Caenorhabditis elegans: one gene and its partner. The protein of the gene in region 2 purifies or fractionates together with the protein of the main gene of each other region. This does not show direct contact. Each region holds a gene or a part of one and is shown on either strand. Other genes may lie near its edges.

Region 1 (6,968 bases), on a different chromosome or scaffold from region 2:
TTTCAATTCCGGCAAAAAACTGGATTTTCCGGCAATTTACCGATTTGCCGGAAATATTCAAATCCGGCAAATTGCAGATTTGCCGGAAATATTAAAATCCGGCAATTTATCGATTTGCCGGAAATATTCAAATCCGGCAAGTTGCAGATTTGCCGAAAATATTCAAACCGGCAAACTGTAGATTTGCCGGAAATACTAAAATCCGGCAATTTATCGATTTGCCGGAAATATTAAAATCCGGCAATTTATCGATTTGCCGGAAATATTCAAACCGGCAAATTACCAGAGGTTTCATTTTCGGAAAATGACCGGTTAAAAAAAAATTTGTCTTCTAATTTTTTACACCAAAATTTAGAAATTTAGCGAAGTTTAAAATTTAGAATTTTAAAAAAAATTTGTTTTTTAATGTAAAATCTAGAAATTTCCCAGAAAATTCAGCAGAAACTTAGCGGCTTTTGGAACCGTAAAATCTTAAAAAAAAAAGCTTTTTTAAAAAAGGAAAAAATTGGGGATTTTATATAATACAGTGCAGTTTTAGGGGCGAAAATAGGCCAAAAAAATGAATTTTCAAGTTAAAAACTTGAAAAAAAATGCAATTTTAGGACCAAAAAGGGCAAAAAAAAAACGGGAAAAAAAAAATTTAATTTACAAAAAAAAATTGAAAAAACCTCGAGAAATGTCATCGGAACTGTGATAAATATCATGTTGAATAGCGAGTTTTCGGTATTTGAAAAGTTTTCGGCACCGAATCATTTTTCCGACTTTTTTTCAGCTGTTTTCAGGCGGAAAAAGTGAGAGAAATGAATGTGTGTTCTAAGTGATGAGAGAGAGATAGAGAGTGAAAACGAGATTCAGAGAAACAAAAAAAAATGGGGGAAAAAATGAAAATGAAACAAAAAAAAATGAAATATGAATCATATAATTGCTAAAATTCAGGGGAGGAGGAGGAGAGGTTTTTTAGGAGAGTTTTTACAAATAAAGCTCGAAATCAATTCTGGCAACTGGATTAAAATGTCCATTTGTTCCAGAACGTCTGGCAACACCTTCTGCCGAAAGAAGTCCTTTTGATTGGCGATCCATCATTTCTGAAGTCGGAATCGGGCCCTGGAATTGGAAAAAATTTTTACTTTTTTTGAGACTTTTTTTCATTAAAAAAAATTTCAGAATTTTCAAAAAAAAATTTTTGAAATTTTTTTGACATATTTTAATTTATTTTTCGAACACATTTTCGGCAAACCGGCGATTTGCCGGATTTTTCAGCGTGAATTTTAATAAGAAAAAACTATTTCGATTAAAACGGGTCTAAACCTAACAAAAATTGAATTTTTTCGATTTCTGGATAAAAATTGGCTATTTTTGACATTTTTCACCAAATTTTCATGGAAATGTTCAAAGTTTTTGCTAAAAATAGGCTATTCTGATTATATCCCAAAAAATTGGTTTAAAAAAATCAATTCTTCATTTAAAAAAAAAAAAACTATTTTGTTAACACGAATTTCGCCAAAATCGTCCGTTTTTTCGCTGAAAAATTAGGATTTTTCGGTATAAAATCGAGAATTTCCGACAATTTTTCAACAATTTTTCAACTCAAAATTACCAAAAATTCAGGCATTTTGACTTTGTCTTGACTGAATTGTGAATTTTCAGATAATTTTTAATGTTTTTCTTCTAAAAATGCAATAAAATTGAAAATTTTCGAGAATTTTCCGAATAAATATGTTTAAGTTCAAAAACCAAGTTTATCCGATTTTTATTCAAAAAAATTCTTTTTTTTACTTTTTTTTTTTTTTTTTTTGGTAATTTTCTTACTTTAAAAATATGAAAATGTGTAGATTTTTCCATATTTTCTGCAATTTTCTTGCTCAAAATTGCAGAAAATTGGCTAATTCTAGTTTGTTTCACTGAAAAAATTATTTTTTTTCCTCTGAAATCAGTAAAAATTGGGATTTTTTCCAGTATTTTCTTTTCAAATATCAAATTTGTCGTAGAATTTCCCACTATTCTACCTCAATTTTCGCCTCTTCATTAGCCTTATATTCCCATTTAACACTATCATCTGCTTCTTCTTCTTCTTGCTCCATTGGAGCTCCTGCTGCTCTTGCTGCTCCAGTTGAAGTTGGCTCATCAGAGAACATATCCAACTCATCAGCGGCTGTACTTATCATTTTTTGCAATTGGAAATTGAATTTCTCACGATGCCATTCGTAGGCGTCCATCTGGAATTAAAATTCTGATTTTTTTTTTGAGTTTTTTGGCCAAAATTTGGAATTTTTCATATTTTTTATCGAAATTTTTTAACTTTTTTAACAAAAATGCTCATTTTTCGCTATTTTTGATGTTTTTCACCAAAATTTTGTGAAAAAATATAGGTTTTCGCAATGAAAATGCGCGCTATTTTTACGTTTTTCACTGAAAAAAAAAAGTATTTTAAATTGGAAAAATCCGAATTTTTTCAGATTTTAGCTGAAAATTGTCATTTTTCATCAAAACACCGGAAGAAATTGATCTAAAAGAAAAATAATCTAAATTTTCGGGTTAAAGAAAAATATTTTCGGCAAATCGCCAATTTGCCGGATTGTAATATTTTCGGCAAATCGGTAAATTGCCGGATTTGAATATTTTCGGCAAATCTGCAGTTTGCCGGATTGTAATATTTTCGGCAAACCGGCAATTTGCCGGATTTGAATATATTCGGCAAATCTGCACTTTGCCGGATTTGAATAATTTGGGCAAATCTGCAATTTCCCAAAAATTAACATTTCCGGCAAATCTGCACTTTGCCGGATTTGAATAATTTGGGCAAATCTGCAATTTCCCAAAAATGAACATTTCCGGCAAAACGGCACTTTGCCGGATTTGAATAATTTCGGCAAATCTGCACTCTGCCAGTTTTTTTCAGCGCGAATTTTGTGAAAAAATCGCATTTTTCACAAACGAATTAAATTAAAACCGGTCTAAATCTTGCAAAAATTGAATTTTTTTCGATTTTTGGCTAAAAATTGGCAATTTTTTCGACATTCGCGCGGGTTTTTTATGAATTTCGTTTCAAAAAATTGAGCGTAGCATGAATTTTCTGGAACTTTAAGCTGTGAAAAACGAACAATTCCAGCAGAAATGAGTTCATCAGCGAGCCCAGAGAGCTGTGAAGTTTCCTTCTGCCCATCAGTTGGCTCAAATGATTTTCCGGCTTTTTTGGCGGCCCAACGAAGTTTCCGTTCTTCAGCAGCACTTAATCCTTTCTTCTTTTTGAGCTCTGAAAGAGCTTTAGCCACTGTTTGATTGGGTTTCAGGAGGTTGACAAGTTGCTCGAAAATTTCTTTTTTTCGTGCATCACTCATTGTAATTGGCTCCGGCTCTTCGTCTTCCAAGGATTTCTGGAAATTTTGAGGAATTTTTATATTGAAATCAGGGGGGTGGGCGGCAATTGTCGGTTTACCGGAAATTTTTATTTCCGCCAAATTGCCAATTTACCGGGTTTTCAATTCCGGCAAATCCGGCAATTTGCCAGAAATTTTATTTCCGCCAATTTACCAATTTCCCAGGTTTTCAATTCCGGCAATTCCGGCAATTTGCCAGAAATTTTTATTTCCGCCAATTAGCCAATTTGCAGGAAATTTTTATTCCGACAATCTGCCAATTTGCCGGAAATTTTTATTTCCGACAGTTTGCCGATTTGCCGGAAATTTTTTTTCCGCCAAATTGCCAATATCCCGGGTTTTCAATTCCGGCAATTCCGGCAATTTGCCAGAAATTTTTTTTTTCCGCCAAATTGCCAATTTGCCGGGTTTTCAATTCCGGCAATTCCGGCAATTTGCCAGAAATTTTTTTTTCCGCCAAATTGCCAATTTGCCGGGTTTTCAATTCCGGCAATTCCGGCAATTTGCCAGAAATTTTTTTTCCGCCAAATTGCCAATTTCCCGGGTTTTCAATTCCGGCAATTTGCCGGAAATTTTTATTTCCGACAGTTTGCCGATTTGCCGGAAATTTTTATTTCCGCCAAATTGCCAATTTGCCGGGTTTTCAATTCCGGCAATTCCGGCAATTTGCCAGAAATTTTTATTTCCGCCAAATTGCCAATTTGCCAGAAATTTTTATTTCCGACAATTTGCCGGAAGTTTTCGATTCCCGCAATTTGCCGATTTGCCGGAAAAAATCGTATGCCGCCCACCCCTGACACATTTTGAAACTTTTTTAATCGAAAAATCGTGAAAAATTTGGAATTTTCTTCGGATTTTTAAAATTCTGCTACATTTTCCGAGAATTCTCGTCAATTTGGAGGATTTTATCAAGTTTTCCGCGAAATTTTGCAATATTTCTCTGAATTTCAAGCATTCAGGATTTTTTTGAACAATACAAGTGAAAATCGATTTTCCAGCCATTTTTAATGCAAAAATCCTGTTTTTTTTTTCGGAAATTTTGTTTTTTAATCGACTTTTAAACCGATTTTTCCGCCAATTCAGCTCAAAAATCCGTTGTTTTCAGTCAGTTTTAAAGCAAAAAAGTCAGGTAAAAATCGATTTTCCAGCCATTTTCAGTGCAAAAATTCGGTTTTTTCAATTTTTAACCAGAAAAACTATTTTTAAATCGATTTTTCCAGCTTTTATCAATTTTAGGGCGCAAAATCCAGGCTGAGATCGATTTTCCTCCGATTTTAGTGCGTAAAACCGTATTTTTCAAATTTAAAAATGAAAAATTCAGGTTTAAATCGATTTTTCGGCAATTTCCGCGTAAAAATCAGATTTTTTCTTCGATTTTTCCTCCATTTCCCGTGTCGAACCTTGTCCTCATCGCCCTCCCACTGATCTCCGGCCTTTTTCTTCACTAAACTCCAATCAATACCATCCAACCACGCGTCTTGAACATCTTTTGTCTTTTTATCGAAAATAAAGTTTCCAGTTTCATCGAAATGACCCTCTTCCTCGTCCTCTTTCATATTGAAAGCCGTAATTTTAATAGATCCATCAAAATCCACACCACAATCCTCTTGACCTTCAACTCTTCGGGTATCTAGACGTTTGTGATCCTCTTCTTCTTCTTCATCTGACTCTAATGTGTGGAATTTCTTTTTTTCCTCTTCGTCTTCCTGGAAAAATATCAAAAAAATAAATTTTTTCGATTTTTTTTTGAAAAATATCGATTTTTTTCGATTTTTCCCGGGTTTTTTCGCAAAAAAAGCCACTTACATCCGCATTTCCTGGTCTCTCCTTCACCACATCTTCTTCCATTGGAATATCCAATATTCCATCTTCAATTTCTCGTTTATCCCGCTTAAAAACTCTCGTTTCGATGTCGTCGGCGAAAGAAACGGCGCGTTTCGGCATTTTTTGGCTGAAAATGAGTGAAATTTCGTAATTTTTGCGAAAAATTGAGTCATTCGGTGATGGAAAATTGTCGAAAATCAAATAAAAGTTGGGATTATGCGCGGAAAATGAGAGAAAAAAAGAAAACCGATTTTTCGGCGAAAACATTTGATTGTGTGCAGTTTTGCGTGACGGTGTTTGCGGAGTTGGGCGCTATGGAGGGTGTTTTGGAGGACAGAGAATTGCCGCATTGGGCTTAAAATTTGAAGCGAATTTTTGTTATTGCAATGTTAAATGTGCAGAAAAAATTGATTTTGATCTATAAATCAATTAAATGTGAAATTCACAGCAAAAAATCAAAACCACGCCTATTTTTCTGGAATTTCTACTTCTCCGGGACTACTTTTCCAGTGTCTCCAGGTAGCGGGAATTGAAAATTTAAAAATTAAATTTATTTATTTATTTTTCACCGATTTTCCCCAGATTTTCTCTCATTTTCCGTCATTTTCGCTGAAATTTTCCACAAATTGTTCAATTTTCAGATGGATCCCCTAGATGACCTACTCACACAGCTCGAGGGAGTCGAAGAAGAGGAGCTAAAGCCTGTAAACCGAGCCCCGCGGCTTCTGAACATGGAAGAAGCCTGCGAAAATCAAGGTTCTAGTGAGAAACCCAGCGATTCTAGCTCGAAAAATCGATATGAAGATGATGATAGTGATGATGAGGAGCTTTATGTGAAAAAACGGTAGGGAAAAGCTCGAATTTCTCGAAAAATGCAAAATTTTCTCCAATTTTTTCTTCTTTCAGAGAGCTCACGGAGCAAGGAGCTCTTTTAAAGCGGCATCTGGAGAAGAATAGCTCAACGAGTGGGCCAAAGGCCACAGATGCTTGGAAAACTAATAAAGTATGGTGGAAAGTCGAAGAAAAATCTGGAAAAACCCAAAATTTTTTAATTTTTTTGGATTTTTTAAAATCATAACAATTACAACTACAATTTATCAAAAAAAAAATAACGCCAAAACCAAAAAAAAATTTTTTTTCAGAAATCAGTGCTCACCGGGCTCACGAAACCATCCACCGACACAGTAACCGTCGGAATTGTGAGATTCGACAAATTTCAAATATCGATTCGGAATCCGAAAATTTCGGCGACAAGTTTTGGAGCATTTACTGCTGGAATGAAGCTTGAAAAGCTATCAAATCTGAAACCAACGTCAAATTTCAAAGAAGCATGGTGCACGATTGGTGTTATTGTGGAAAAGGGTTTCAAGAAGAAAAGTGCAAATGGAAATGATTTTTTGATTTGGAAATTACATGATTTAAAGGTTTTTAGAACGGAAAAATGAATAGAAAATTCGGAAAATTCAGAAAAAAAACATCGAAAAAAAAATTTTTTTTTAGGTGTTTAATTAAATTTTTTAGAAAAAATTCATAGTTCTAAAACTTACAAATTCGTTTTTAAAAAATTCCTACTTTTAAAATTTTTCGTCGGATTTCTCGATTTTTGCTCCAAAACTACGGTCTCGACACGACAAACTTCTGTTAAATGCGAAAAGGTGTGCGCCTTTAAATAGTACTGTAGTTTCAAACTTTTTGGGATTTTTTCATTTATAAAATTGAAAGAAAATTCGAAAAATTGACAAAAAAACTGATTTTTTAGTGAAAAAA
Region 2 (4,270 bases):
TGTAGTTTATAGTCTAAAAAGCTTCTCAGGGGACCTAATTCAATTTCAAATTCGGACGCCGCTGCTGTCATAAAATCGTTACTAAACTTGCGAAATAGCAATTTCCAAAGAGAGAAGAGTCGCAGGAAGATTTAATTAAAAATTAAATTATTTCGAACGCAAGCTCGCTCTATTGAGAATCTGAAGAATTAAAAATTCTAATTTAGGCGGCTAACAGAAGGGAAATCAATAAGAAGTGAAAGGAGAGCAAAAGTTTTTGCCGAGCAATGGGGAGGGGGGGGGGTGCTCCCTCTCTCCCGCTGAAGAAGACGTCGCGGCTCTCTAAAAGAGGCGGCAGAGAATCAGAGCACTCGGCTCGCGGCCTAGAAATGGCATGTGTCAGGCCACGCCCCTGTGGTTGGTTTAGACCGTTTTATTACAAAATACGGATACAGTTGGGTGGGGGGGGGGGGGGGGGGTGTGTGGAGGCAAAAAGAAGAAAAATGGGTGTTTGTGTGTGTGTGTGATATAGAATGATTGGGGTGTTTAACACAAAAATGATGCTTTATCAAATCTTGTTAACAACAAACTCCAATTAAAACGAAACCTGGGCGCAATGGGGTGGTGGTTGGAAGGGGCACAAATTGAGTTTCCTAGTACTAGTTCGTTGATCCTTGACACAATTGAGACCTTTTGTTGTGTCAAATATTTGGTAAAGAAGAGGTCGTCTTGGTGGGTGTATGTGGAAGATCAAGGGATTCAAAGGGCTTAAAAATTAAAGAAAAAACGGGAGATAACAAGCAAACCAAATCGAGGGCAACTCATCAGAAGAGAGATCGATAAGGCAGGTGATAACAACAACAAGCTAAATGGGGGAACTAGAAAAAAAAGAAAAATAAGAAACAGGCATTTTGGAAACGAACAATTTGTGGGGTAGATGGGCACAGGCAAAGATATTGAAAAGAGGAGAATTTTGAAGAAAACAAGATGGAGAGAAGAACAGAGCATTTGAATGAGGGCGGGCGAATTGGTTGGTTGGCTGAAGGTCGTTGAGTGGGGGGGGGGGAATTACTTGGCACCGAGAGCTGGGAAAGCATCGTCAGAAGCGTTGAATGGAGTGTTGTTGCGTCCTCCATGACCTCCTTGACGTTGTCCTCCACGGCCTCCACCGCGTCCACCTCCTCTTGGTCCTCCACGTTGCGGCCTCTCAGAACGGTCGTTGCGCTCGCGTTCTGGACGATCGTTGCGGAAAGTGATCGAAATGTCGAGCACTTGCTTTCTTGGAGCCTTGTGGATTACGACGACCTCGTCTTCCTCACGATCTGGGATGACCTCCTTCTTGATTGGAACGAGCTTGCCAAAAGTATCGGCGGCTCCCTCTCCGGCCTTTCTGGTGTTGAACTTTGGAGCGTCAGCCTGAAACAAAAAAAAAAATAAATTCCAAAACTAATATTTTATACGACTCACCTTAGCCGCAGCCTTGAACTCCTTAAGAGTCTTTTGCTTGGCAAGAACAGCCAACTCAGCCTCGTAGGCGAGCTCCTCAGCGGTCTTCTCACGTGGAACCTCTGGCTCGGTGCTCTCAGCGCCCTCTGGAGCAATGTTCTCGGTTTCTCCAGCCAACTCGTCCTTCTGGTCTCCCCAGTTGCCCTTTCCGTGTCCGTCCTTCTTGTCGAATGAGCGAACTCCGGTACGGTCGGATCCGGATTGACGATCGAATTGACGCCCACGTCCACCACGGCCTCCTCCACGTCCGCCAGATGGTCCACCTCCAAGGGTGAATCCTCCACGACGTCTTGGGGCACGGGTATCTTGTCCGTCTTCGAAAGAGACCTCTTGCTTTGGCTCCTCTCCTTCTCTGTTCTCGCGAGTGAATCCTCCGCGGCCTCCACGTCTAAAATACAAAGTTCAGTAAAATGAAAAAAAAAATTAAAAATTTAAGCGTTTCTTACCCAGCTGGACGAGCAGCACCGCGCTCACCGCCTCTGCGGGGTCCTCCACGACGGTTCTCGCCTTGTGGACGATCACCGTTCTCGTTGGAGACACGTTCTCCGTCACGTGGACGGCCGGCTCCCCCGCGTCCGCGACCACGTCCTCCGCGTCCACGTCCAGCAGCACCGTCGGTTTTGGTGGCGGCTGAAATAATGTTTAATTAATTTAAGAATAGGAATGCCAATTCTTACCAACTGGAGCAGCGGCTGGCTTGACCGGCTGGGCGGGCTTCACAGACTTTTCCTCCTTCTTCTTGGCGGCGATTTGAGACACCTTTTGGATGAGCTCTCTTGGGTCGTCATACTCTGCAAATTATCGATTTTTTATAATGTCTTCTGGGCGGAGTATATCGCATATGAATATTGCGCAATATCCCATCGGGAAGATAAGATAATCATCCGGCGATCATCATCATCAACCACTCACCATCGTCGTCGTCGGATGGAAGACCGAACTTGTTGGTGACCTGGCAACCGTATTCAGTGCTCATTTTTGCTGTTTGTGTTGATTCGATGAAGATAAGATTCCAAGTGCAGGAAGCTTCTGTTCAATTCAATAATTTCAATGCCAAGTTAATCAATAACCCATAATATGGGGATACCTGCAAGAACGTTAGTTTAGATTTCAAATTTTCAAACAAAAATCGATATTTAAGAAAAGAGTATAATTAGCCAGACACCGTTGCGATATTTTAAATCAGTTAAGCACTTTTCACAACTAAAATCAAAAAATAAAAAAAGCAAATTGCATTTTCTTAAGGGAATTTTTGAATGTTCCAGAAAGAAATCGAATCAAAAGTCAGAAAATCAACAATTGCTCAAAATCCACTATTTCGGAATAAAATAAACATTTTTCAGTGCAATTTTGATCAAAAATCGGTGATTTACTGCTAGCAACCCAAAAAATTACAAAAAACCGGCGAAAACGGTCAAAAAAAATCGGAAAAACTGTTCAAATCGGACAGGTGAAGGTTTGGCTGCGTATCACAATAGTGTAAACTGGCGTTTGCGAGCCGCTACGCAGCCAAATGCGACCGCCGAAATGGGCGGCAGTTTGAAATCGAAAACTAGTCCTCGGCCATTTTCAATCAATTTTTGGTTGGGGGAAAACTTGTTTTCCAATTGTTTTTGTTGTCTTAAAGTATTTGAAAAGAAATTTATGACATTTCCAGCCCAAAATGTGTGTAAAAAAAGTAAAAATGCCGGGAAAAAGTATTTATTACAGCGGGGGATAACGAATAATAGTGGAAAAACTCGTTTGGTGGTGAAAAATTGGAAAACTAGAAGTTGAAAGTTTGTTAAAATCACAGATTTCGCGAGAATTATGCTATATTTACACAGAAAAATTAAAACAAAAATCAAATTAAAAAGCTCTTCATCTTCTCTATTTCCGCAGCTCGGGATCACAAAAATATTTACCAGCGAGCACCTTTTTACGAATCATAGACAGGTGATAAATATCCGATTGCACTAGGGAAATGTCCACTCCAGATAGATTGGCTTCCAGGCACTGAAAAAGATAAATTAAGAGCTTAAATTTCAGTTTTTAGTACCTGAAATTGCACGAAGACCTGCGCCGGCTTCCGATCGAGCATTTCCAAGCTTACTTCGTCCTGGAAAATTATATATTTTTTATTTTAAAGCAATTAAAAAGCCCGACCCCAGAATTCTTCATAAATATCCTTGCTTTCAGCGATCCGTGCACATCTCCATTTCTTGAAATTTCCAGCAAATTCCAGCCGAGTGACGGATTTCCAGCCACCCATTTGGCTTCTGGCTCACACATCACAGAATCCACGCTTCCCGTCAAATTTGTGCTGAAATTCACGTTGAGAAGTGGCGCCGAGATGGAAGATTCTGAGTTGAGGCGATAGTCGACACGGAGATCTGAAAAGAAATGCGGATTTTTATTATTAGGCTTTATTTTTGGCGTTTGCATTTAAAAAGTACTACAAAAAACTCAATTTTATTTAGCAGACTCAGCAATTTTGCCAATTTCAATAAAAAATTTGGGTCTGCTACACTACAAACTACAAAATCAAATTTAGCAGACCTATCAATTTTCTGCAGTTTTTAATAAATTTTGGTCTGCTAGACTACAAACTACAAACTCTTAATTAGCAGACCCATCAATTTTCTGCAGTTTTTAATAAATTTTGGTCTGCTACACTACAAACTACAAAATCAAATTTAGCAGACCTATCAATTTTCTGCAGTTTTTAATAAATTTTGGTCTGCTAGACTACAAACTACAAACTCTTAATTAGCAGACCCATCAATTTTCTGCAGTTTTTAATAAA

Evidence for each region. The genes of interacting proteins can lie anywhere in the genome.
Region 1: the proteins of vig-1 (region 2) and teg-1 purify together in Caenorhabditis elegans (affinity purification with western blotting; one study listed by BioGRID). This does not show direct contact.

Annotation. Positions count from the first base shown.
Region 1 is NC_003281.10:11,311,728-11,318,695, forward strand, and holds teg-1 (GYF domain-containing protein), read right to left. Parts: upstream 5,329-6,968; 5' UTR 5,322-5,328; coding exon 5,184-5,321; intron 5,084-5,183; coding exon 4,778-5,083; intron 3,375-4,777; coding exon 3,102-3,374; intron 2,217-3,101; coding exon 2,007-2,216; intron 1,105-2,006; coding exon 970-1,104; 3' UTR 502-969; downstream 1-501. Other genes in the region: mcm-10 (Protein MCM10 homolog), read left to right, coding at 5,843-6,045, 6,108-6,204, 6,344-6,625.
Region 2 is NC_003280.10:1,319,339-1,323,608, reverse strand, and holds vig-1 (Hyaluronan/mRNA-binding protein domain-containing protein), read right to left. Parts: upstream 2,573-4,270; 5' UTR 2,462-2,572; coding exon 2,398-2,461; intron 2,277-2,397; coding exon 2,163-2,276; intron 2,116-2,162; coding exon 1,932-2,115; intron 1,874-1,931; coding exon 1,447-1,873; intron 1,396-1,446; coding exon 1,048-1,395; 3' UTR 536-1,047; downstream 1-535. Other genes in the region: fcho-1 (FCH domain only protein 2), read right to left, coding at 3,355-3,480, 3,524-3,583, 3,631-3,857.